Linked DNA regions of Alligator mississippiensis. The protein of the gene in region 3 purifies or fractionates together with the protein of the main gene of each other region. This does not show direct contact. Links are inferred from orthologs where the notes say so. Each region holds a gene or a part of one and is shown on either strand. Other genes may lie near its edges.

What was found. The genes of interacting proteins can lie anywhere in the genome.
Region 1: the proteins of IFT140 (region 3) and IFT122 purify together in Homo sapiens (affinity purification with mass spectrometry; 4 studies listed by BioGRID and IntAct, counting the BioPlex papers as one, with this or other methods). This does not show direct contact. The link is inferred for Alligator mississippiensis from reciprocal best matches to the Homo sapiens genes IFT140 and IFT122.
Region 2: the proteins of IFT140 (region 3) and WDR19 purify together in Homo sapiens (co-immunoprecipitation; 3 studies listed by BioGRID and IntAct, with this or other methods). This does not show direct contact. The link is inferred for Alligator mississippiensis from reciprocal best matches to the Homo sapiens genes IFT140 and WDR19.

Annotation. Positions count from the first base shown.
Region 1 is NC_081835.1:15,084,216-15,091,610, reverse strand, and holds the start of IFT122 (intraflagellar transport protein 122 homolog), read right to left. Parts: upstream 3,159-7,395; 5' UTR 3,100-3,158; coding exon 3,059-3,099; intron 2,457-3,058; coding exon 2,390-2,456; intron 843-2,389; exon of another isoform or gene 578-842; intron 355-577; exon of another isoform or gene 270-354; intron 118-269; coding exon 33-117; intron 1-32. Other genes in the region: MBD4 (methyl-CpG-binding domain protein 4), read left to right, coding at 3,485-3,522, 4,579-4,827, 5,386-6,254. UniProt on the Homo sapiens protein: As a component of the IFT complex A (IFT-A), a complex required for retrograde ciliary transport and entry into cilia of G protein-coupled receptors (GPCRs), it is required in ciliogenesis and ciliary protein trafficking.
Region 2 is NC_081825.1:50,485,977-50,493,486, forward strand, and holds the start of WDR19 (WD repeat-containing protein 19), read left to right. Parts: upstream 1-4,352; 5' UTR 4,353-4,488; coding exon 4,489-4,521; intron 4,522-5,106; coding exon 5,107-5,198; intron 5,199-5,971; coding exon 5,972-6,037; intron 6,038-7,510. UniProt on the Homo sapiens protein: As component of the IFT complex A (IFT-A), a complex required for retrograde ciliary transport and entry into cilia of G protein-coupled receptors (GPCRs), it is involved in cilia function and/or assembly.
Region 3 is NC_081836.1:29,248,119-29,255,998, forward strand, and holds the start of IFT140 (intraflagellar transport protein 140 homolog), read right to left. Parts: upstream 3,244-7,880; 5' UTR 3,156-3,243; intron 1-3,155. UniProt on the Homo sapiens protein: Component of the IFT complex A (IFT-A), a complex required for retrograde ciliary transport and entry into cilia of G protein-coupled receptors (GPCRs).

The sequences.
Region 1 (7,395 bases), on a different chromosome or scaffold from region 3:
TTCCCCAAGAAAGCCAGAAAGGTGTCACTTACCATCTTTAGCATAAGCCACACAGTACACTGTGTCTTTATGTCCTTTCAAAGGCTGAATTAAGGTTCCATCAGATGTATCATATACCTATATAAATAATAATAATAATAAACAAAGAATAATATAAGGCCCTAGTCCTCCAAGGAGCTCTGTGGAACTGGGGCCTAGAAGTATAAGAACTAAAGAACTAAACAAGAGTTTAAAATTTTCAAAGTGCATGTTTTTTTTTTTTTTTGCAGTTTCCCCATTTAGTCAGTTTCCCCCTGTTTGAATGAACCTTTTACATAGCAAAAAGAGACAGATCTTACTTATATCTACAAAAACGTAAGTAAGACCTTATTCTAAAATCTTCATACCAGATTTTAGTTGTGGTAGCTACAACTACTTGTCTTTTGAAAATGGCTAGCATTTAAGTAGATGCTGCCTTTTAATATACTAGAGCAGGGGTAGAAAACCTTTTCCAGCTGTAGGCCAGAAGGATTCACCCCTAGCCAGAAGCTGATGAGTGCTAGGGCCCAGTCACAACCACCACTTCTGTCCCTCTTAGTGACACAGGGAGAGGACCCACAGTCAAACATCTTCATGATTGAATACCAAAGCCCTATGTCTGTGGACCAGTTGCAATGTTTCCAGGTTGCTGACCTCAAGGTTAGAGCACGCATTTATTTCTAAGCACTGACAGCCAGGTATTATGTCATGGGAGAATAAAGGTTAAAGGATCATATAAACAAAGGTCATTTATCTAATGCTCTCAGGCAGCTAACTTGGATAGTCTGTTTTATACTAACCCCTTCCCTCATGTCATCAAAATCTTTTTAGGCCTAAAGCAGGGTCGAGCGAAATACAGCCTGTGGGCCTGATCCAGCTCAAGCACTGTCATCTGGCCCCTGGGGCCCCTCAACACATTGTGCCCCACCCAGCCCTTCCACCCACAAGGATCGGAGCGAGGCACTCGCATGTACACAGACCCAAAAATGTACCCTATGGCCTCGCTTCCACCCTCGTGACCAGAAGGGCATGGCAGGTCAGCGTGCAGTTTCCATGCAGAGTTGCTGCTGCTGCAGCTCCCCCCAGCTGCAGGTAGGAAAGCAGTGGGGGCGGGGCTTCAGCTGGGAGGGAGCCCCAAGCATGGGGCTGGTGGCAGTGCGGAGCCTGTGCCCAGGGGGTGGCAGCAGCGCAGAGCTGGGGTGGGCAAGTGTTTGGGTGTGAGGGACAGTATTGGGTGTGGGGGACAGTATTGGGTGTGGGACCCCACCCCTGCCACTCCCTATAGTGTGCAGCCCTGGCAGGCTGAGGGAGCAGCAGCAGGTGGGGCACTTAGGGCACAGGTGCCCAGCGGGACATGGCTTTGGCCAGTGCAAGGAGTGGCACAGCCTCCGTGCACCTACCTGTATAGCCAGTGCTCCCAGTCACTCGCTTGCAGCCCCTGCATTTGCACAGCAGAGGAGGAAGCCCCACGTACTGGAGCCAAGTGCCTTCCCTGTTGGGGATGCTCAGCATGGGAGAGAAGTTTCAGGCTCTGGATATAGGCAGCTGGGTGGAGGCTGTGCCCCTTGCTGTAATGTACAGTGCTGGCCAGAGCGATGACCCATGGGCAGTGTGGGGGGGGTCTCCACCCCCACCCTCTGCACCCACACCCCCCCACATACACACAACCCAACATACCCTATGCTCCTCCACACAGCCATACCCCCTCACAACCTCCCAAACACACATCCACACCCCCCCACCCCATAATGTTCAAAAATAAGGTTTTATTTATATGCAATATATACAATCGCCTCTATATACACACAACACAAACCCAAACCATGACAAAAATATTTTTTGTAGTAAAGTTAAAAGATGCTATAGTAGGCATTTGACTTCTAGTGTATGATTTTGGTTTTTTTTCTAGTTCTAAGATGGCACCCCACCTCCCAAAAGGGGGATTTCTGGGGGGCAAGGGGAAGGACTTCCAGTAGGAAAGGTCAAGGGTTAGGGGGGGTGGGACATCCAGTCCCAAGATGGTGACAAGGGGGCTGGGCAACCGACAAGGAGCTGGACTATCCATGGGGCCCTTGACAGCACACCAAAAAACTCATGAAGCGGCCCTCCACCTGAAGTAATTGCTCGCCCCTGGCCTAAAGTCACATGAAAGAGTCCTCATTTAAAACAAACAAACTCCAAAAAATGACACACTGGAAAATGTTAGTATATTTTGAGGCCATCTATAACTGAAGGCCACCGACAGGTAATGGCAGATTGGGAAGGCAAAGAAAGGAGAGCTCTCTTGACAGTTGTTTCAACAGATTAACTGAATGCACATCAAGCCCCCACCGTATCGCTGCCGTTGGGAAAACTTAAAGCGCTCTCCTACCAGCAGTCTGTTTCCCGCTGCAATGATCAGTTGCGTCCCATCGGGTTTAAACGCAAGGTCGTAGATGCTGCAGAGAGAAACCCAAAAGGGAAGGTTTACAGGAGCACGAAACAGGACGGGGAGCGATCGCGGAAACATGCCGCGGTCCAGCACGGCCATGGCCCAGCTCCACAGAGCAGGTCTCGCGTCCCGTTATTACGTGGGTGACGACGACCCATCTCCCCGAGCTAACGAGAACGTGCCCCAGGCCTCGCCTAGGCCGTTCTGCCAGCTGATGCCACCTGACAGACCAGGACGCGGGCTGCTCTCCGCACCCTCTCAGCCACCGCTCTTGGGGGCAGTGGCAGAACCGGGGCGGAGGGCAGCGCAAGGCTGAACCGGGATGGAAAACACCGCCAGCGAGGCAGAAGCGTGCAGAGCCACACCAGAGTGGACAGAAGCGTGCCAGTGCGATGAGAAAGGCACCATCGCGCTGAGCCCCGTGTCCCTGGGCAGGGGGCCCCAGCCCTCCAGGTCCCGGGCCGGGGTCCCCCAGGGGACAGAGCAACAAGCAGAGCAGAGGCTCGGGCAAGGGGCGTGGCCACCTGGGACAAGGGGGCGGGGTCACTCGAGGGAAAGGGGCGGGGCGCATGCCAACATTCGCTGCCCTCCCCCCAGCCCGGCTCTTACCACTGCTCCGCCTTGTCCCGCCACGTCAGCGCCGCCCTCATGCCGCCCGCCGCCTCCCTCAGCGGCCGTCCTACCGGTCCCCCCCCCGTCAGCCCTCTTCGCCCCCTTCCTCGCTCCCACCCCCCCCCGCCGCCGCGGCTCCCCTTCCCCCGCCGCCGTTCGTTTATTTACATGGCAGCGTCCCAGGCAACGCGCATGCGCAAGGGGCCCACTCGGCGCCGACGGGGAGGGGCGGGGAGAAGTGAAGCCAACGCCCACACCGCGCAGGCGCGGAAGGCGGAGCGTCCGCTGCGGAGTACGCGGACGTCTCGTCCGGGCGCATGCGCAGGATGTTTTTGGGCGGTGCTACTCGCTTTTGGCGGGATCGGGGCCGCGCGTGCGTCGCACGAGCCTGCGTGTCATCACGTGACGCTAAGATGCCGCGACATGGCGGCCCCGGAAGTAGGGGAGCAAGGAAAGGGCAGGTAGGGTTGCTATGGCTACAAGCGGGGCTTGTTCCCACCACTGTCCTCCGTAGCTTGGTGTCATGCGGTGGGGGGGGACAGGTGATGTCACGGAGCGGGGAGGGCACGCAGGAGTGACGTCACTGCTGTGACGTGCGGCTTCGCGCCTGCGAGGGGTGCTGATGGCGGCTTTGCCCCCCTGGCTCAGGGCCGCTCCCCCCTCCCCCCCACACAGTGCTGAGCACCCGGGGCCTGCACCCTGCGCTGGGCATCGCTGCAGCCCTGAGGGGAGGCTGGAGCGGGTGCTGGGCCAGGGGGTCCAGAGCCCCACATGCTGCTGAGGTGCCCCAACGTAGCAGCCAAGTGCCAGGGTCCCACAGGCATCTTCACTGTGATTCAAGCGAGGGGCATATGAGTGCCTTCCTCGCCCCTGTGGGGCCGTTCGGGCACCGCCTCGTCCGCCGGCGGAGCCACGCCAAGAGCCTGGATCGGAGAGAGGGCGTGGAGCCAAGCCAGCCGGTCCTTCCTCTCCAGCCCACGTGGCACGGGCACGCGTGTGTCATGTCTTCAAATAACAGCATGCTCACGTGGTACATGACAGACCCCTGGGCTCTCAGGAGGGCGACCGGTTATGTTCGAAAAGGATGTGAGGAGCACAGCTAGAAACCTGTTTTTTCAAAAGACCGGTCTCGGCAGTTTTTTCTGGAGGGCACGAGATGGTCGAGTCCCGAATCGCCCTCGTTTATCTCCTCATGGTTATTACAGAGTACAGGACGAGGGGTGGCTCGTGTCAGATCCAAGATCAGAGCAACCACACAGCTTTGCGTGTATGTGCATGCACACATACATACGTAGGCATACAAATATATGCTTGTTTCACATAGGAAAGGCTGATCGTGCTATTTCTGTAGCTCTGCGGACATCTGCTGTCAGAGAGAACGAGCTCAATCTTGCATATCAGATCGTGGCTGGCTGTTGGCTGGTTATTTTTTTCATTTCTCTGCAGCTCCTGAAATATAGCAGTTCTGATTAGAAAACCTGTCTGGAAGGATAAATTTTCTTTTTGTTTGCCTTCAGTGACCGAAGTGACATGCAAACAAAAGATGAAGGAAACCAGTTAGTGACAGAGACAGAAGAACATTTTGATTCACAAACCGAAGGTACTGAGACCATAGCCGAGAACAGTCTCCTGCGTAAAGAAGATGCAGCTGTTGTCTCTGAAGTGGTTGTTGCATGTCACAAAGTCGCTCCAAATGGATGGGAGAAGATCACAAAGCAAAGACAATCAGGCAAAACTGCAGGAAAATATGATGTTTATTTTATCAGGTAAACATTTCTAGCAATCCATCATGAAAGGGGAACAGTAATTTAAATGTTTGTGCCCTTGATTTATTCTACTAGACAGAAAGTATGTGTTGCAGAACAGAGGCCTTGCTGTTGCATGTCTTGGGTTCTTTCCCGAGTTGTCACACAGGTTACTGTGAGGCTTAGCTTAAAGTCAAGAGAAAAGTTCTGCATGATTTAAAATGAGTCATGTTATGACTTTGTGCCTCGTACTAATAAGATGCAAAGCTATAAATAAAACATTGATATGCCTTAGAAGCATGTTGTGAGACTGTAAAATGCTTAATCAAGTGTGTAGGATACTATCACACATTTTCTTGTTTTATAACAAGTATTTTTTGATCAATTATTAAAAGAAAGATTATCTATAAAGGCATATTCAGCTAACCTTCCTTTTCCTTAAATATTAGTTTAGATTATTTCTTGCAACATGAACCAGTATTTTAGCTTATGTTTAGAAAAGGAGGCTGCATTGCATATTTTTTAGATTAAGAAACAGAAACAGTAAGTAATCACTGATCATATACCTTTCTTTCTCAGTCCTGAAGGAGTGAAGTTAAGATCGAAACGTGCACTTGTAGAGTATTTTCATAAAACTGGAGAAACCGGTCTTAAACTAGAAGATTTTGATTTTACTACTCCTGCTCAAAGTAATACCAAGGTGAGAGCCAAAAAATGCAGTGCAAAAGCTGTGAAAACCGCAATACAGAAAAAGGAACATGACAATACAAAACAAGAGTTTAGTGCACAAAATGGTAAAGGCGGTGGTAGTGTTCAGGTACTTCAGACTATTGATGAAGAGCAGGAAAACATTTCTGTCACGTTCACCCAGGGAACAGAAGACTTGGTCGTTAAAGAATGTAAACCAAAGGATGATTCTTTGGAGGTTAAAGAAAATGGGATAATTGAAAAAAGAGTTCAAATTAAGAAAGCTAGAAAAAGGTCAGAAAAAAAGAATCCAGCTTGTACCCAGAACAAAAGACAGAGAAAAATACCGTGTAATAAACAAGAAGTTGACATAAATAAAAGCAAAACATTCCAGAGAAAGAATAATGCTTGTGCTTCTGATAGTGGTGATCAGAACTCAAATGATGTGGATACAGGAAAGTGTGGGGGAGACTCAGGAAACGCATTGACATCGGACTCCCAATCAGAGGTGAATCTTGGAGCAGTCTTAGCTCACTCAGAAGAGGCATCAGGAACCACAGTGGAGTTAGCCTGCTCAGAGAGGAGTTCTGATGATACAGCTACAAAAGACTCTGAGGAGAACTCTGCAGAATCAGAATTTGGGCAGGGGAAGGATGAAATGCTTTTGCAGAGCCAGGACTTCAAATCTAATGCTCAAACAGAAATCAGCAGTTCACAGCCTTGTGACAAGAAAAGTTTGACATCAGTTAAGTTGCTGAAAGGTATATACCAGTGTTTCTTATCTCTTTTGATACAGGACACCCCTCGTTAGACTCGAGGCAGGTCTTGGAATATACCAACTGTTCATTTCCTCTTGTTTTTTTCACTATGGAAAATAATACAGCAATTTTTCTGGTGCAGAGAATTCAGAAAGGCTGCAGGTCAGAATGTTTTTAACACTGTGGTTTCCTATTTGTAATCTTTGGGTTTCTCTTGTGAATCATATTTGCACACCTAACTGATGTTTGGCACCCTGGAAAGAATCTCCAGGCAACCAAGGAAAATGTAGCACCCTGGTGGGAAATCACTGGTAGATGCATTTTGGATCAGAGCGCTATTTTAGAATTCAGTCAAGCATGCTTTCTAAGTAATAATAAAAAAGAAGTATGTATTTCAGTCTTCCCTATTCTACGATTGGCTGTAGCTAATATTGTTGAGGTGTGTTTGCATGGAAGTCTATATAACCTTTCTAGCACTGGTGTTGTACAGTATCACATATTGCTGTATCTAAGGACACAGGTACACAAAAAAGTTACTATAAGGTGAAGGAAGACGGGGATATTCACGGTAGCAGCTTCTCTGTGGTAAAACCACATGAAACTAACCCCTGGTAACTTTTTCCTCTGAAAGAGACATAAGTTACTGTGGGATAATTTACCTATGCCACTAAGTCAGGCTGAACACACAGACAATTACTACACAGTAGCTCCTGTACATTAAATCCCTGACTTTGTTTTCCTCATGATAATTTGTTTGTAGTTTAGTACTGGAAGTGCTCTATTCATATTGAGAACTCGTTTTGAGAAGTTTGTCTACTTTTAATTCAAGTAATACAGCTAAACTTGTTCAGCTTTCTTCTGGTGATAATACAGTAATTCCTGGAGCAAATTTAGGTCTCTGGTGCTCCTTTGTAGTCCCCAGGGGCTCACTACATTGAAAATTTATGTTAAGGATGTGTCATTTAATTATTTTTTTTAGCAGATGTTGAAATACACTAGACACTGGGGTGGATCCACTGCTTTTGTCCATGCAGCAGTGCCAGTACAAGTGTTTGTATTTCATGCACAATATAGAGAGGAAAATAATGTGTGAAATATAACAGGATACCTCAGGGGTTTTTTTTAGACTTGAGGCACCCCTTAT
Region 2 (7,510 bases), on a different chromosome or scaffold from region 3:
GAGTTCAGCCTTGTCCCCCCTGTCTGTCACCAATTGTTTCTGCCCATTTAGCAGAGGTCCTATTCCTCCCTGGGCCTTCCTTTTACTCCCAATATATCTAAAAAACAATTTCTTGTTGTCTTTTACTTGGGTTGCCATCCTCAGCTCCATGGTAGTTTTGGCCCGCCTAACTGCCTCCCTACAAGCACGAGCAGAGGAGGTATATTCATCTTTAGTGATCTCACCCTGTTTCCACTTTTTATGTGCTCCCCTTTTGGCCCTTAGGCTGCCCTGGATTTCTCTGATCAGCCATGGAAGCCTCCTGGCCCCTTTCCCTTTTTTGCCTCGCTCAGGGATCGTCTTGCTTTGTGCCCGAAGGATCGTTTCCTTAAGGCACAGCCACCCTTCTTGGGCTCCCATCCCTTCAAAACTCCTACTCTGCAGTGCATCCTTGACTAATCGCCTGAGTGCATTAAGATCAGCTTTCCTAAAGTCTAGCACTTTCACCCTACTAGTTACCTTACCCACTCGCCGTCTTATGTTGAATTCTATTATTAGGTGATCACTGTCTCCCAAATGGCTACCGATCTGGAGGTCCCCTATCATGTCATCCCCTGTTGCCAATACCAGATCCAGTATGGCATTCCCCCTAGTGGGACCATGCACCTCCTGTGTCAGGTGGAGGTCCTGTACACAGGTTAGAAACCTGCGTGAGTGATGGGACCTTGCTGTCTGCGTCTCCCAGCAGATGTCCGGGTAGTTTAGGTCCCCCATGACTACCGCCTCTTTAGCTTTTATGGTCTCTGAGAGTTGCCTCAGGAGCCCCGCATCTATTTCTTCCCCTTGGTGTGGGGGTCTGTAGCAGACCCCTACCACCAAATCCCTTTCTCCTTGCCCCCCATGTAGCCTAACCCACAATCCTTCTACTTCCTCAACCTCGGATTCTGTCTTGATGAGGGTTGATGTATATTGCTCACTGACATAAAGTGCAACCCCCCCCCCCTTTCTTCCCCGACCTGTCCTTTCTGTACAATCTATAGCCCTCAATATGTACTGCCCAGTCATGGGATGAATCCCACCAGGTCTCTGTTAGCCCCACTAAGTCATAGGTGTTTAGTGCAAGCAGGAGCGCTAGTTCATCCTGCTTGTTCCCCATGCTCCTAGCATTAGTATATAGGCACTTGAGCCCTGCGACTGGCGCCTTTGCTGCCCCCCCCGCTCCAAGTCCCAAGGGGCCCATTGTTTCTTACCTTCTTGTTTCTTACCTGTTCTGTAGTGCTGGTCTCCGCATGGCTTTCAGGTTTCCAATGTTCTCCTTCTTCAGGCTGGGCTGTCCTCGTGGGTGCCACATGGTTTGGTGGTCCACAGCTTCCCCTGCCCTCGTACTCCCCTCCCCCCAACGAGCCTAGTTTAAAGCCCGCCAGAGGAGATCCCCCAACCTAGAAGAAAACACACACTTACCTTTGGGGGACAGGTGAAGCCCATCCCAGCTGAGCATACCCTGGTTGGGTAACTTTTTTTTTCCAGGTTTTTTTCTTCAGTTTTTGAGCACCCCAGAAGGGTCAGGCCCCAGCAGGTAAGAAGGCAGCTGGCTTGGGCACTAGGGGAAGCATGTCTGAGGCTCAGCATGAGGCTGGCAGATAAAAGCAGGGAGTTTGGGGCAGATAATGGCCCCTCTTTCTGGACAGAAGGCCCAGTTCTAAGATGTGTTGATCTTTTTTTCTTTTTACCATTTTTTTGTTTTCTCTTGCCTCCTGAAGTTGCTGGGCTATGCTTGGCTTGTTGTGACCAGAGTCAGCTGGTGCTGTGGTTGCGTAGGCAGGTGCTTTAGGTGGACATGTCTGTGGCTGGATAGGTTGCGGTGTGAGCTGAAGGCCGTTAGGTTACCAGGTCAAGGCTCTGTGTTGCCTCCTGTTTTCAGCCTCTGTATATGCCCCCCAACCCCCTTGTAACCCAGCCCTCACTGTTGCAGCCAGAGAGCACAGGGGTGGAGCCAACCCTGCTCTCTGGAGCAGAGAGCCCAGGCCAGGGCACAAAAGCCTGCTGGGTTGCTGGGGCAGTTTGATTTAATTTGAAGCAGGCAGGGATCTGGGACTGAAGTTTGATAAACCTATAAACAACTTGTGCCCCGGCAGCTGGTGGGGCGTGGCGGCAGCAATGGGAGTGTAGTGGCAATAAACAGGGAGCTCCTGCAGATGCCGCCAGCTCTGTTGGCAGGGGTGGATTTGTGAGTGTGGGGGAGTGACACCACAGACAGCAGCTATTTCTGGCAGCCAGCGACAATGGCTGACTGGTCTCTAGTGCCGTCAGTGGCGATGGTGGGTTGGCGAATGGCGACTGCATGCAGCACTGCCAACACTGTCGTCAGCGCCTTTTCATAAGGGGTGCACGTTACCCGCATGCACCCCCTATACATCACGAATGCATAAACTGGTCTGGCACAAATCAGTTAAGTGTGATATTACATTGAAACAGGTTTATCTTAAACCAGTTTCAGCCATTTTGAAACTGGTTTATGTGCTCTGACCTTCTGTTCTGTTACAGGTTTAAACCAGTTTCTGATCACTTATACTGGTTTATGTGTAACTTCTTTCCCTAACCTAATAGTGTGATAATCTTAGGCATTATTTGCCTTTCCTTTTCCCATTGTAAGACTTTTATGAATCCAAGTCTTATCACCTACCTCCTGGGAGCAGGCGGTGAATGAAAACTTTCACTCAAATTGTAATTAAGAGTAAGGTATAGTTGTGGGTTTGATAAATCCCTCACTCTGAATTCCAATTTGAGTGAGAATTCAATTTTTTTCCAAAATGTCTATAGTCAGCAATGTATGAAGTTGGCTTTTGTGTAGGATGAATGTATGTAGAATCTGATCTAAGGTGCTGCTTCACCTTCCTTTTTATAAACAGAATAAACTAAACTCCTTGCATTTGCCTCTTTTCCAGATGGGTGATTTTTGTAGCTCTTCTCTGAAAGTGCAGACACTCGTATAGACATGCTATTCTAATTTGAATGTGTTGGAGCAGTTAATTGAGTCTGCCGAACATTTTAATTAGAATGTTCCAGCATGTCTCGCCATCACCTGTATAAGCCCTCACATGTTTCAAAATGGTGATGGTGGCACTTTTAACTAAAGCTCATTGGACTAACTTTAAAGCCCCCTGTGGCCATTTTGAAAAGAATAGGGGCTTCTACACCTGACAGTGAGCTGGGAACCACTGTAATTAAAGTACCCACCCTCACCTCCAAGTACTGTATGGGTACCCTAGGACTAGTCTCTTCTAGTTCACTTGCCCATGCCATATGAAGCAGTACCATCACTTCCTCAGTCCTGCTGCAAATTTCCCTCTCCACCTATCTAGTAATAGAGTTGGTGTCAGACAAGCTTTTGGCAGACAAGGTTCTTTGGGTAAATCTGGTATCTTTTATTAGACCAACTGAAATAGTTGGAAAAAATCTTTGCAAGCTTTTGGGTATATATACCCTTCGTCCGGCTGTGGAAGCATCTGCAGTTGGTGTGTGCTCATCCTGGATGGAATGAGTAGTAAAGAAGCTGGTATGGCTTTCTTGCATGCACTCTGCCTATGTCCTTAGCCAAACACAGCTACACGCTGAGACAAGGCGTTGGGCGCATGCAGCCCTTCCTCTGGTCACGAAGGGCCCTACTACATGTTCCCGTTAAACCTGGATAGAAACCAGCTCTGAAGTTTGGTGCATGTTCTCGAGCACTAACTTTGTAGTGGGCTGGCTCCCTTTCTAGTGGGATGGACACTTTTATGGCACAATAGTGACTTACTTTGCAGGTCACACAGTCTAAATAGATTGCGGGATTCACCTGTGAGTTGGGTCAGGTATATAACGTGAGGCAGTGCCCCAGGTCTGTCACCTCTCCCACGCAGACCGGGCTGCGCCATGCACGTTTCCCGCCCCTCGTGGCGACACCCGCGCTTCGGCCCCGCCCCCGACGAGGGGACCGCGGGCAGCACAGCGGAAAGGGCTGATGCCGTACCGCTCACTTCCGGGAAGCCCCGCCCCTCAGCGGCAGTGGCGCAGAGGCGGCCCCTCCCAGCGTGGGGGCGGAGCTAGTTGCTGAGGCGACTGTGGAGCGCGCGCCACCGCATCCAAACGACATTTCCGGGTTGGGCCACGCCCGCTCGCTCTGATTGGCCTAGACAACAACAGGCTCTTCCGTCCCCCGGCCGTTACCAGAGTAACAGAGACGCTGTTAGCTGGAGGAAACGTGTTCCCCCCGTCCTGGGTGCGGTGCGCATGCGCACTTGAGAGGTTGCCAGGCGCGTCCCGGCTGGGAAGATGAAGGTGAGGGGCTGAGGCCGTTACTGCGCGGGCCGGCGGTGCCCGACAGGCCGGAACGGGGCTACGGAGGCCTCCCCGTGAGGCGGCGGGTGCGGGGGCGCTGCCGCACGGTGCTCCCAGCTCCTGTACCGTCGCCCGGGCTGCGGGCGCCAGCGGCATCTCCTGAGTCGGCTGCGCTGTTTGGCCCCGGGCGCGATGCGCGGGAATGGCACCGCCCTGACGGAACAGGTGTGGAGCTGCGGGTGTCCCACGAACAGGGGTGACCGCCCCACAAGTCTCGGGCTGTGGGGCTCGCAGCAGGGGAAGTGTCGTTGGCTGCGGGGCTTGTAGTGGAGCAGCAGGGAGACTGCTGCCGTGCTGCAAGCCCGGTGAGTTGGGCTCACAGCGGTGGCAGCACCCCCTTCTGTTAGCCCCGCACCTCCCAAGGCTCGTTCTCTGCGCCGCCTGACAGTGGGGACAGCTGCCCCTTCTGTGAGCACCGCAGTGCGTCACCTGGCAGCCTTACAGCCATGGGAGCTGGTGCAGAGGAAACCTTGGATGGTGATCACAGGCTCCCCCTACACCAGCAGTAAGCAAGAGGATCTAATGTGCGATCCCACAGTCACACTTCCTGTCACGCACGTGTGGCCTGGCAGGAGGCACAATTGTGTGGATCTCACGTTAGAGCTGATTGCGCCTTTATCTGCATGTGTAGTAGGGCCCTTTATTAACATGTGCCTAGGTGTTTTACTACGTTGTTTTTTCAACACTTGCTGTTTTAAAGTTAATAATTCTCTTCTTTTTGCCCTCCCTTTCCCCACACCCCCCCGCCAGCGAGTGTTTTTTCTTTCAGAAAAGTCTTTGCTTGGTTCACCAGTGCAATTAACCTGGCAGAAGACTTTAGGAAATTTTCTTGCAGTAACAGGGTAAGAAAACTATGAGCCTCCCTCTGCTATTGGAAGGAGGTTGTAAAAGCTAACAAGCAATTTCAGAGGACACGAAATGAGAAAATGGGAACAGGAGGGTAGGTCATAGGTTAATAATAAATGTTTCAAGGAGGGCTATGGAGCAGAATGCACCACCCAGCACCCACTGTGCTGCAGTCAGACCTAGTTCTTATGCAATGGAGAAACAAAGGGCCATGTCCACTAAGGGAATTATGAGCCTCTCTTAGTTGGGGAGCATGTGTGTGTGACTGGTGCCTCTTGAGTCTGAGGGGGGTACCTGCAGAAGTTAGCTGCGGCAGTGGGGACAAGGCTGGTGAGCACCTGTGAAAGAAGGCATCAGTGGTGGGGATGGGGCTGGCAAGTGCCCGCAAAAGCTGCCAGAGGTGTCAGTGGCAGGGACAGCCCTGTCAGCGAGGGCATGTGTAGTGTCGTGTCCCCCCTCTTCCCCCCCACCTCCCCCCCGATGCCTCCCCTACCAGTTGCCTGTGTTAGAGAGGCAACTGAGTGCATAACAACTTTAAATATTTTTTATGTGTACAGAGAAATCATTGAAAAGTGCAAATAGCATTAGCTATTAGATGTGAAAATAGCTCAAAGTACTGACCCAACCCCTGCAAATAGTCATAGATTAAATTTGGGAACCAGATCACAGGGATATGAAAGATCAGTGGAAAACATTCTTACTGATATTTGTAAATGTACAAAGAAAATTCAGTTTCCCTTATTTGCTAATCCTTTTTCAATTTTTTTAGTGTTGATCACACTGTAAAAATCTTTGATCGTCATGGTCAGAAGAGAAATGAAATTAACCTACCAGGGTAAGTACTGAGATAAGTTTTGAGCGCTTTCTTAAAAATACATTTTTTTTTTTTTTTTTTTTTTTTTTAAGGACATGATCGTATAAATAAGGAATATGAATCAAGCTGCGGCCATGAGGCAGGGCTGATTTCGCAATAAAATAACGACAAAAAATACTATGTTCCTGTACCAATGATGTATCTCGGTGTCTTGTGCTACCTGTCATCTTTGGTGCTACCTGTCATCTTGTGCTACCAGGCTGTTTTATTTTATCAAGACAAAACCTGCCCAGAATAGAGAGCAAGAACACAATTCATATTCCTTACAATTTTTTTTTTTTTAAATATCATTTATTTTATTTTGTCTGGTAAAGCAGTGAGATTCCATGCTTCTCACTCAACGCACATACAACAGTTTTAAAACCTTTTTTCTTATATATTTTACAATTTTTTTTTAATCAAAAAAACAATAGCTGAGAGATTATGCCAGTATCACAGTATAGAAGACAATAAATGGCTTCTTTCAGACTCAGGGCTAGTTTTGTTGTACTTCTGCTTCCTGCCTGCAGCCAGTTGGAGCAACTGTGATGAACCTACAACTTCCATGTTATTTCATTAGTTGTTCCCAGTACTTAGTAATTATGCATTTAGTTGCCTCCCTAACTATAATTGTCTTAGTGTGCTTGGCTCACTGTTTCCCCATTGTATAACAGATAGGCCTGACTGCAGTCAGTGGGTGCTGGGTAGTACATTCTGCTCATTACCCCCACTTGAAACACTTATTGTTAACTTATGACCCACACTCCTGTGCCTATTTTCTCATTTATTGTCCCCTGGAATCACTTGCTAGCATTTATGGCCTCCTTCCAATAATAGAGGGAGGCTCATAATTTCTGTGTGAGCCTAAGCTCACAGACTGTAGCCAGAATACAAGAAGTGGCTGACATTTATACAGACACTCCTATCCCAGGATTCATCCTTTTTTTATTCCGGGTATGCAGCTAGGCTTCTGGGTGGATAGTCCGCTCTGCCACTCCCATGTCTTTAGGTACACCAAGTGACCACTTCCCCCTTCTGTATCTCCCAGTCCTTTAGTCTCTGAATCCTTTTCTACAACAAAAGGAAAATAGTCCTACTTCAGATGCAGAGATTTTTTTTATGATCTTAGTGTACAGGTACCTCCAGAATGCTCATCTCCTTTCATTACAAATTATGATATCTCTGTTCCTGTGTCAGTTCTAGGATCTTCTTGTAGCTACAGCCTTCTTCTGCATCAGTGTGGCTCTTTCTCAAGCTCATACATTAATTAGTACTAAGCGAGTTTTCAGGTTGCGTTGAGTAGCTTTAAAAAGTGCTATAGTTTGGTGAAATCCATATTTTCATGGGACATAGTTAAGTGACATAGTTATAATTCTTTATCCATATTTTATGTATAAGGGACATAGCTGGAGGCCCACCAGCCCCAGAATCTTTGGAGGGACTAGGGTGGTAGGC
Region 3 (7,880 bases):
GTGTACCTCTTCTGTCTCAAAGTGCTAGCTCATGTAACCCTTTATATTTTTTTCTTGTTTTTAATATTACCAATTATGTGATATAAGGCAGTGTGACAGGGCAGTTTTAATACTCTGTCACTTTAAGGGGTAGAGCAGTTAGCTTCCAGGTGTCTGATGAGGGTGGCCATTTTGGAGAGCTCTGGTATAAGAGCAGAGCAGTTTGTGCTCTGTAGTCTTGGGAGTAATGTCACTTGGTGGAGCTCCTGCTCTAGGAATATCTTAGAGGTAAGGGTGAGGCTATGGGGAAGGAAAAGGACTTATTGGTCCTGGACATGCCCTGAAATTGTACCCTGCTGGTATAGGGAGGCTGGGTGGGCCTGCCTGTGGTGGGACAGGGTCACTTATATGTCAGGTTTGAGAACCACCCTGGTGTAAGGTGGGTTGGGCACCTAAACCCCTGCCTCCCACCTGCTAACATCAAAACAATAGAACATTTTGGCATGGCAGGAGAAAGGCAGGCAGTTCCTCCAAGGACAAAGGAGCAGGCTGGTCTCTACTCCTTTAGTCACAGGCAGACTATACTAATTAACATTGAATGCATTATTAATATGTGGCATCTGGCTGGTAAGTCTGTTGTGGGGGGAGGGGCTGGGGCAGGTGCTGCATAGCTGGGGCAGAGCATGGGACTGAGCCACAGGCAGCTCATATGGGAGATGCAGGGGGGGTTGGTTTCTGGCACTACACACCCCAGGAGGGCATGGGGGAGGTGTGCCCTTGAATCTGTGCTGGGTGAGGGCAGGCTACCACTGTGGGCTGGACCAAGGGGGTGCCAGGCTCTTCCCAGCAGGGGGGCTGGGCCAAGATATGCTCAGGGTGGGAGGTGGCAGCCTTGGGAAGGGAAGCAATGCGGGGGCTTCAGCCACCACAAAATTCCTTGATTGCCGATACTGTCACTTCCTTTTATCTGTGCCGATCTGATGGGACCAATGTATTAGTGCACCTCTAACTTTTTTTTTTTTTTTTCCATTCTGTGTACCCCTGGCTGACAACCACTGGTCTAAGACTAGAAGAATTAACCAGTACTATAAGAATTAAAAAAAAAAGTTCCCCAAATGTTTTGTTATATAATCTTTTGGAACTTGACTTGCAGCATAGCAGTCTAAATACTTTTTTTTTTTTTTCTTCTATATATCTCCTCATAACTAGTAACTACATACCTGCCAAAAGTGCACAGCAATGCGATTAACATCATATGAAGTTAACTTTCTCACCTCTCCTCAGGGAGATAATTGTATGTTTAGGAGAACATTATGCTCTCCTATGTATATTGTTTGGAGGGGATTTATTTTTTCTTATTCAGTCATGGTCTGAAGTATTTGTCTGAAGGGCATCAAGTATAGGACTGGAATCTTAATAAAAAAATAAAACTTTTTCAAAAAGGAAGGTTTTTTGAGATTCTGATGCAGCACCTTTTACCTTAAGCTTGCTCAAGTCACAACAAACCAGCATGCTATTTGAAGAGCTGGCACTAGCTGCTGCACCACTTAAATATATGCATATCAGTTTTGATTTGTATTCTTCAAGCTATTTATATTCTCTATGTAATACCATCAGCTGTATTGGATCACACCTCAATTGTCAACCAAGAATGTAGTTTTGATTTTGGGGGGCGGGGGTTGGTTGGTTGTTTTGTCCTACACAAGTCTGACCATTACTGAACTGTGCTTGGCTACAGACTTGAGCTCCTTAATGAATCCATCAGAGATAATAGATCTGGTTTTCTGAAAGGATGTGAGGACTTCCTTAAGAGATTCTGCAATTACCTCTAAGAAATCATCATAAATCCTCTTAAATTTTTAATTCAAAGTTTTGTTTTGTTTTGTGTGTTTTTAATGGGTTTATAAAATCATACTATATAGAGAGCAAAAATGACAAATCTGAGATGGGGAAATAGTATCTGTCCCTTGATCTACAAACTCTGTATTGGGTTTCAAACTGCATGATCAAGACTACTTTCCTTTGGTGCACTCTTACCCATCTACAGCTTCTGATTGGTAAAAGATGCATGTTGTACAAACATACTAGTGATTTGGGTCCTGAACGTGCAATGAGCTTCATGTGGGCAGACAAGCCCCCACAAAACTTGGGGGGGGGGGGAGGGTGTTGCACTGCTCTGCCTGAACAAAGTCAGTGACAGGGCTGGGTTCCTCATTTTCCCCATTATCTGGTTTTGCATTTTATTCCTTTTGAGCAAAAGGACTGGCCCATTCGACCGTTCTTCTTACCCACCTTGCCTCCTACTTCCCTGATGTTTGTGTTTTTAAATTATTAGTTGACAAACAAAGCCCAATAATGGTATGTAAAAGTAAAAAAACACAGGAACAGGTTACTCAGAGAGGTTGTAAACTCTCCATCCTTGGAGATGTTTAAGACCCAGCTAGACAAAGCCTTAGCTGGGACGATCTAGTTGGGGATGGTCCTGCTTTGAGTAGGGGCTTAGACTGAATATGACCTCCTGAGGTCCCTTCTGGCTCTCCTTTTCAATGATTCTGTGGGAGCTGCTCTATCACCCCACAGACTACAACATGGAAGCAAAGTGCTGCCCTCTTCAAGTTTTATTTTAAAAAGGGGAGAAACAGAACTAGCAGCCGTGTTTAAAGGCACTCTGAGTACAAAGACTACGGCGGCCACGGACCACCCCATGATTCTCACCAGGATATGGGGCACCCTGGGGGGCTACCAGATCCTTCAAAGGGCGACGCGAGGAGGGCGAGGCGGGGCGGCTCCTGGCCTCGGCCCAGCAGGCAGGTGACCCCGGCGCACGGGGCCTTCCGGCCACAGGCGCTCTGGAGGGAGCAAGGAGGGCCCGAAACCCGGCCCCGCCGCTCTGTGCCACGGGCGCCTCACCCCGCTCCGCCGGGCCCGCGAAAGCCGCGGGCAGCACCCCGGGGGCGGCTCCGACAGGGGACGGAGCCGCTCGGCGCCTGCAGAGAGCGCTGCGACACCGGCGGCCCGGCCCGCCAGCCGAGCCCCGCGGCCCAGGGGAGCCGCGGCCCGGCCCCTTGCAGCGCAGCAGCACGAGGGGAAGAAGCCCGAGCCGGGTCCTCCCAGCCCCGGGGGCCGCATCGGGCCCTGCCGACCCCCCCCCCGGCCGCGGCCCTGCCCGCTCCTACCGCCGCCTGCCCCGAGAGCGCGGACGCAGCCGCTCAGGGCCTCGGTTGCAGCCGCCGCCGCCGCGTTGGCTCCATGATGCTTCGCGTTACCCCTGACAACGGGGGGAGCACGAACCGGAAGCGCCCGAGCCGGCCCGGCCGGAGCGCCGAGCAGTCACGGAAACGCCCGAGCCGGCCCGGCGGCAGACACGGAAGCTCAGAAGCCGCAGCCGCGCGTGGCAGGGGGCCGGTCGCTCCAGCTCAGGGGTGCCGGGTGCCTGGGGATACCCGCACCCCGCCAGCCCCGCGGGAGCACCGTCTCGAAGCCCTTTGTTTCCTGAGGATCCCCAAAGAAGACAGAAACAGCCTTTTATCATCATCTTCCTTCTTTCTGGAAGATGCGAGGCAAGCGATGCCGGTGACAGGTGCTGAGCTCGGGCCAAGCTGCCTGCTGACAGCCGGGAGCTGCAGGTGAGGGACGCCCTTTCGCCAAGAGTCGTTAACCGGAAGGCGCTGGACCGAATTTGTGTTCATGTTTGTCTCGGATGAAAAGAGAACGGTGAAGTGCTTCAAGTAATGTCCTGAGCACAGTCGGGGGAGGTTGTATTAGCATCGAAAAGGGGACATTGAGAGAGTGTCCGCAGAGGAAGAAGGTCACTCTCAAAGGAGAGGAATCCCAGCCTACACCCATGGAACGACCAGCAGCTTCTGCAGCTGGATCTGTGGCTCAAGACCCATCAATGAGCTGTGGTAGAGATCAGCCCTTGAACTGGGGGATTGCTGCTACCGACTGTCATACTAGGACTGAAGACATAAGACAGCTGGTGTTAGACAGTCAGGGCACAAAGCAGTATCTCGCATGCAGATGTTCCTTTCCATAACACAAATAATTTGCTTTTATATAAATACTTTTCTTCTGCACATTTCAGATCGCTTTGCAAAGGAAGAGAGCAGTATAACAGAGGCAAAATGACTTGATTAAAGTTGTACAACTAGTTAGAAAGTCTCCCAATTCTTACTATAGTACTCTAGCCACTGTAGCACATTTCTTCCATACAAGCCCAAACCAGTGGGAGTTGTAGAGAACATGTTAATGCAAACTCACACCTACTTACTTCAGAGAGTTCAGTGACTATGAGGCCTGAAAGCCCTAATAGGTACATCTCTGGCACCAGCAGCCATTTTCAACACTGTGTCAATTAACCCTATGGAGAAGCATTTGCCAAACTGTTTTTATTAGTGACAGAGGAGACTGGATATTCAATGGCCTGGTTGTCAAAGGTGATGAACACACGCAGCTTCCATTGACTTAAACATGACATGAGACTGCTCCGATCTGGAAATCCATACATTAGTTTGTAAACTCTTCAAGTCACCAACTATGTTTGCATAGTGCCTAACACAATGGGGCCTGATCTGACTGAAGCCTCCATGCACTACTATGAGAGGCTATATTTCTTAATTAAATATCACAGTTCTACAATTCTGTTTGCAACCTCTAAAAAGGGCACAACCTTTTTTGGTTTGGGGAAGAGTTGGGAGATGGAGGCAAAGTATGTTATCACTGAAATGTTTTGCTGTAAAAAAATAACATTTTTAAAAAAATCCAAGCATAATAGTTAATATATAGCAGAGGTATCAAACTTATTCAGTCTGCTGGATGTGGGGCTGGTCTGCAGGCTGAACCAGACCTACAGACTGGCCCTACATTCCAGCACATGTCCTGGAGCAGCCAAAGAGGGTGCTGTGCATGGTCCAGTCCTTCTCTGGCTGCTCCTTGGATGTGCTGCACAGCTCTGAAGCTGCTGCTGCCACTGGGCTGTGCTGCATGCCCCTGGAGCAGGGGCTGCACTCCATGCAGCAGCCACTCTCTCTCTCTCCAGGGCACAAACTGGAGCAGAGACCATCCAGCAGGCCCCAGATGCTACCTGTGGGTCATTCTGAGACCAATGGGCAGCACTAGGAGGTGTATATTAACCTAGAAGGTGTGCAACTCCTTAAGATCTAATCCTAATGGTCTGTATGAGCACATCCCTGTGGCTATTCATAGCCCCACTGAAGTCATAGCAAACCCATGCATCAGAGTCTTAGGATCATGGCCAACATTTAAACAAATAATCAAAGGTATGATTTATCTTCTAATTTTTAAATGGTAACTTCAGGTTTATATGCACAAAATGTAGCTGCCAGCTTTGACCATGTACATTCATTCAAATGATGCATCACACCCCATTAGGCACAAATAGTGCAGGGACTTGGAATTATGTGATTCCATCAGAAAAGAGATGGTGTATATTATAAAGGAGGCCAAAAGTTTCATCATAACCAAAAATGTAGATGGGCACTTGCAGAAAAAAAGCTCTGAATGCTGGTGCACCCTGAATTTAACAATACTTCAATTAATGTTAGATTTATTTACAAGATGAGGACTTCCTGTAAAAAGTATTTCTACTATTGCTTCAACTCTTGGAATCCCCCTACATGATATACACTCTATAAACAAGCAGAATTAGAGAGGTAAACCTGGAAATGATCTCAAGAAGTCTAATTCACTCCCCGACCAAGATAGGATCCAGTATGCCTAAAACATTTCTGGTAGATGTCTAACCTGTTCCACAACCTCCCTGGGTAATCTATTCCAGTGCTTAACTAATAACTACACTTACAATGAGAAGATTTTTCCCCAAATATCCAATACGCAGTCACTGCTGCAGAATTTGCATTCTAAACAGACATATTAAGCCCTGGACTAATACTTTAAATCACAAGGATTCCTCCTCCTATGTTAAGATTCTCTGAATCTAGCCCTTGCAAAAGGTGCTAGGTCAGCTATCCAAGGCTGCTAGAGTGTTCTGATTAATAACGGGCAACACCCAACACCTTCATCCCTGGTTTTAAAAGAATGCTGCTAGCACTCTGTCATGTCCAGGTGCATCCTGGTACACTTTGGAGGATCAGCAATGGAGATCTGACCTCTGTTTTAAGTCCTCTTACCTCAACTGGAAAGGACAGAAACTGCCACAGTAACAAGAGGACTGCCTACAATAATTTATAAAGTTAAATGACTGAAAATACCTTAAGAGAAAAGAATGTCATGAATGACATGTCATGGTATCAAATATAAGGTGATCAAAAAAAGATTCAGAAGTATGTTTTATATACTGATGGCTTTTTTATAGCTGGGAAAGGGATTAAGAAAAATCTATTATTGGCCATATACTATACTACTTTATAAAAATAAACCTAGAAAACTGATGCAAATATTAAAAGGTTGCATCTCAATTAAGATGAGGAAAAATAAGAATTTAAGTTTCTATGGCGATGTTAGTTCTGCTGCATTGCACACACAGTATTTTCTGTCCCTGTTCTTTTAACACACTAAGTGTATATAATTTGTGCCATAAATTACACAAGATATGCAGTGAACCCCAAGTTACATTGCCACTTTGACTGTGATAATGTAACATTAAATTTACAGTTAATTTGCATTCTATTTTTTGTTTGTACAAGTTTATCATTGGCCTGCCTTTTTGGGCCCTATCTACTACAGAATGAAGGAAAGTTCAAATGTCTTTAGCCTCCACACCAGCTTCTTATCTCAGTTCTTGTCTAAATTGTGTTTTAAATAGGTCCAATTTCTCCAAACTCACAAATAAGTAACTTTACACATTAGCAGTCCAACTAGAAGCGCTAGGATTACTCAGGCATACAAAGTTATTCACATGCATGTTTGCAGGATCAGAGGTCCTGCACTGTGAGCTCCTTGGAGATCTGAATGCATTGAATTGTGTAGGTTAGTAAAGCACCATGTAAATTTACACACTGTGTAAATATAAAAAGCATCCTGTTCGATTTGTTAACTTCAGCTGTGACAGAGCCACGTTTCAAGCCTCCTTGGTTTGACCCATATGGCTATTCAAACCATGGTATAAGACCAAAACACTAAGGCAGAAATAAAGACTGGGAAATATTTGTTTTTAAAATAAGGTTATTTACTGTACAATGTTATAATTTTATTCAGTAACTTGGATTAGAAACTTCTGTAGTAAAAACTCTTGTTTTTACAGCACAGACAAGACTATAAATACACACATTTCCTTATCTGCAAAATGAGCATAATACTTACTCAACTTTTTAAACAATTTAATGTAAAGAGTGATACACCACAAAAGGATAAAGTACAAGCTGTCCTCTCCTGAGATAATCATTTGTCTGCTACAGGCTACAGTGCAGGTCCAGATTCTTTGCACTAAGACCCTCCTTGCTTAAGTCAGGAGTGGATCCAGATTGATTCAGCTACAGGATCCAACCTTAAATTTGTAAAATTATTTTGACCTTTAACACTTGGAATGTTAAACTATAATATAGCCTAACCCCATTTTCCTGTCTGTTGTAATGACCCCATTGTTGAGTAAGAAATTAAAAAACATTGGGAAGAAAATTAACCTATCCTTTGAATAATGTATGCAATATAGATTTTCACAACATTTTAACATACTTCAGAATGATATTCAAGTATGTTATGTTATATTATTTCTCTAACAAATTACTAAGTTGCCAGTGAAAGATAGAAAAAACCCTTAGACAATTAGTACAAAGTGAAAGATGCCTGGGGATCATTTTACTGGCAACAAATATTTAAGTCAAAGTGCATAAAATACTCTATACAGTAGAAATAATCTGAAAACAGGTGAGAAATAGTATATTAGTGAAAATACTTTCAAACCTCCTTCACAAATTACCATT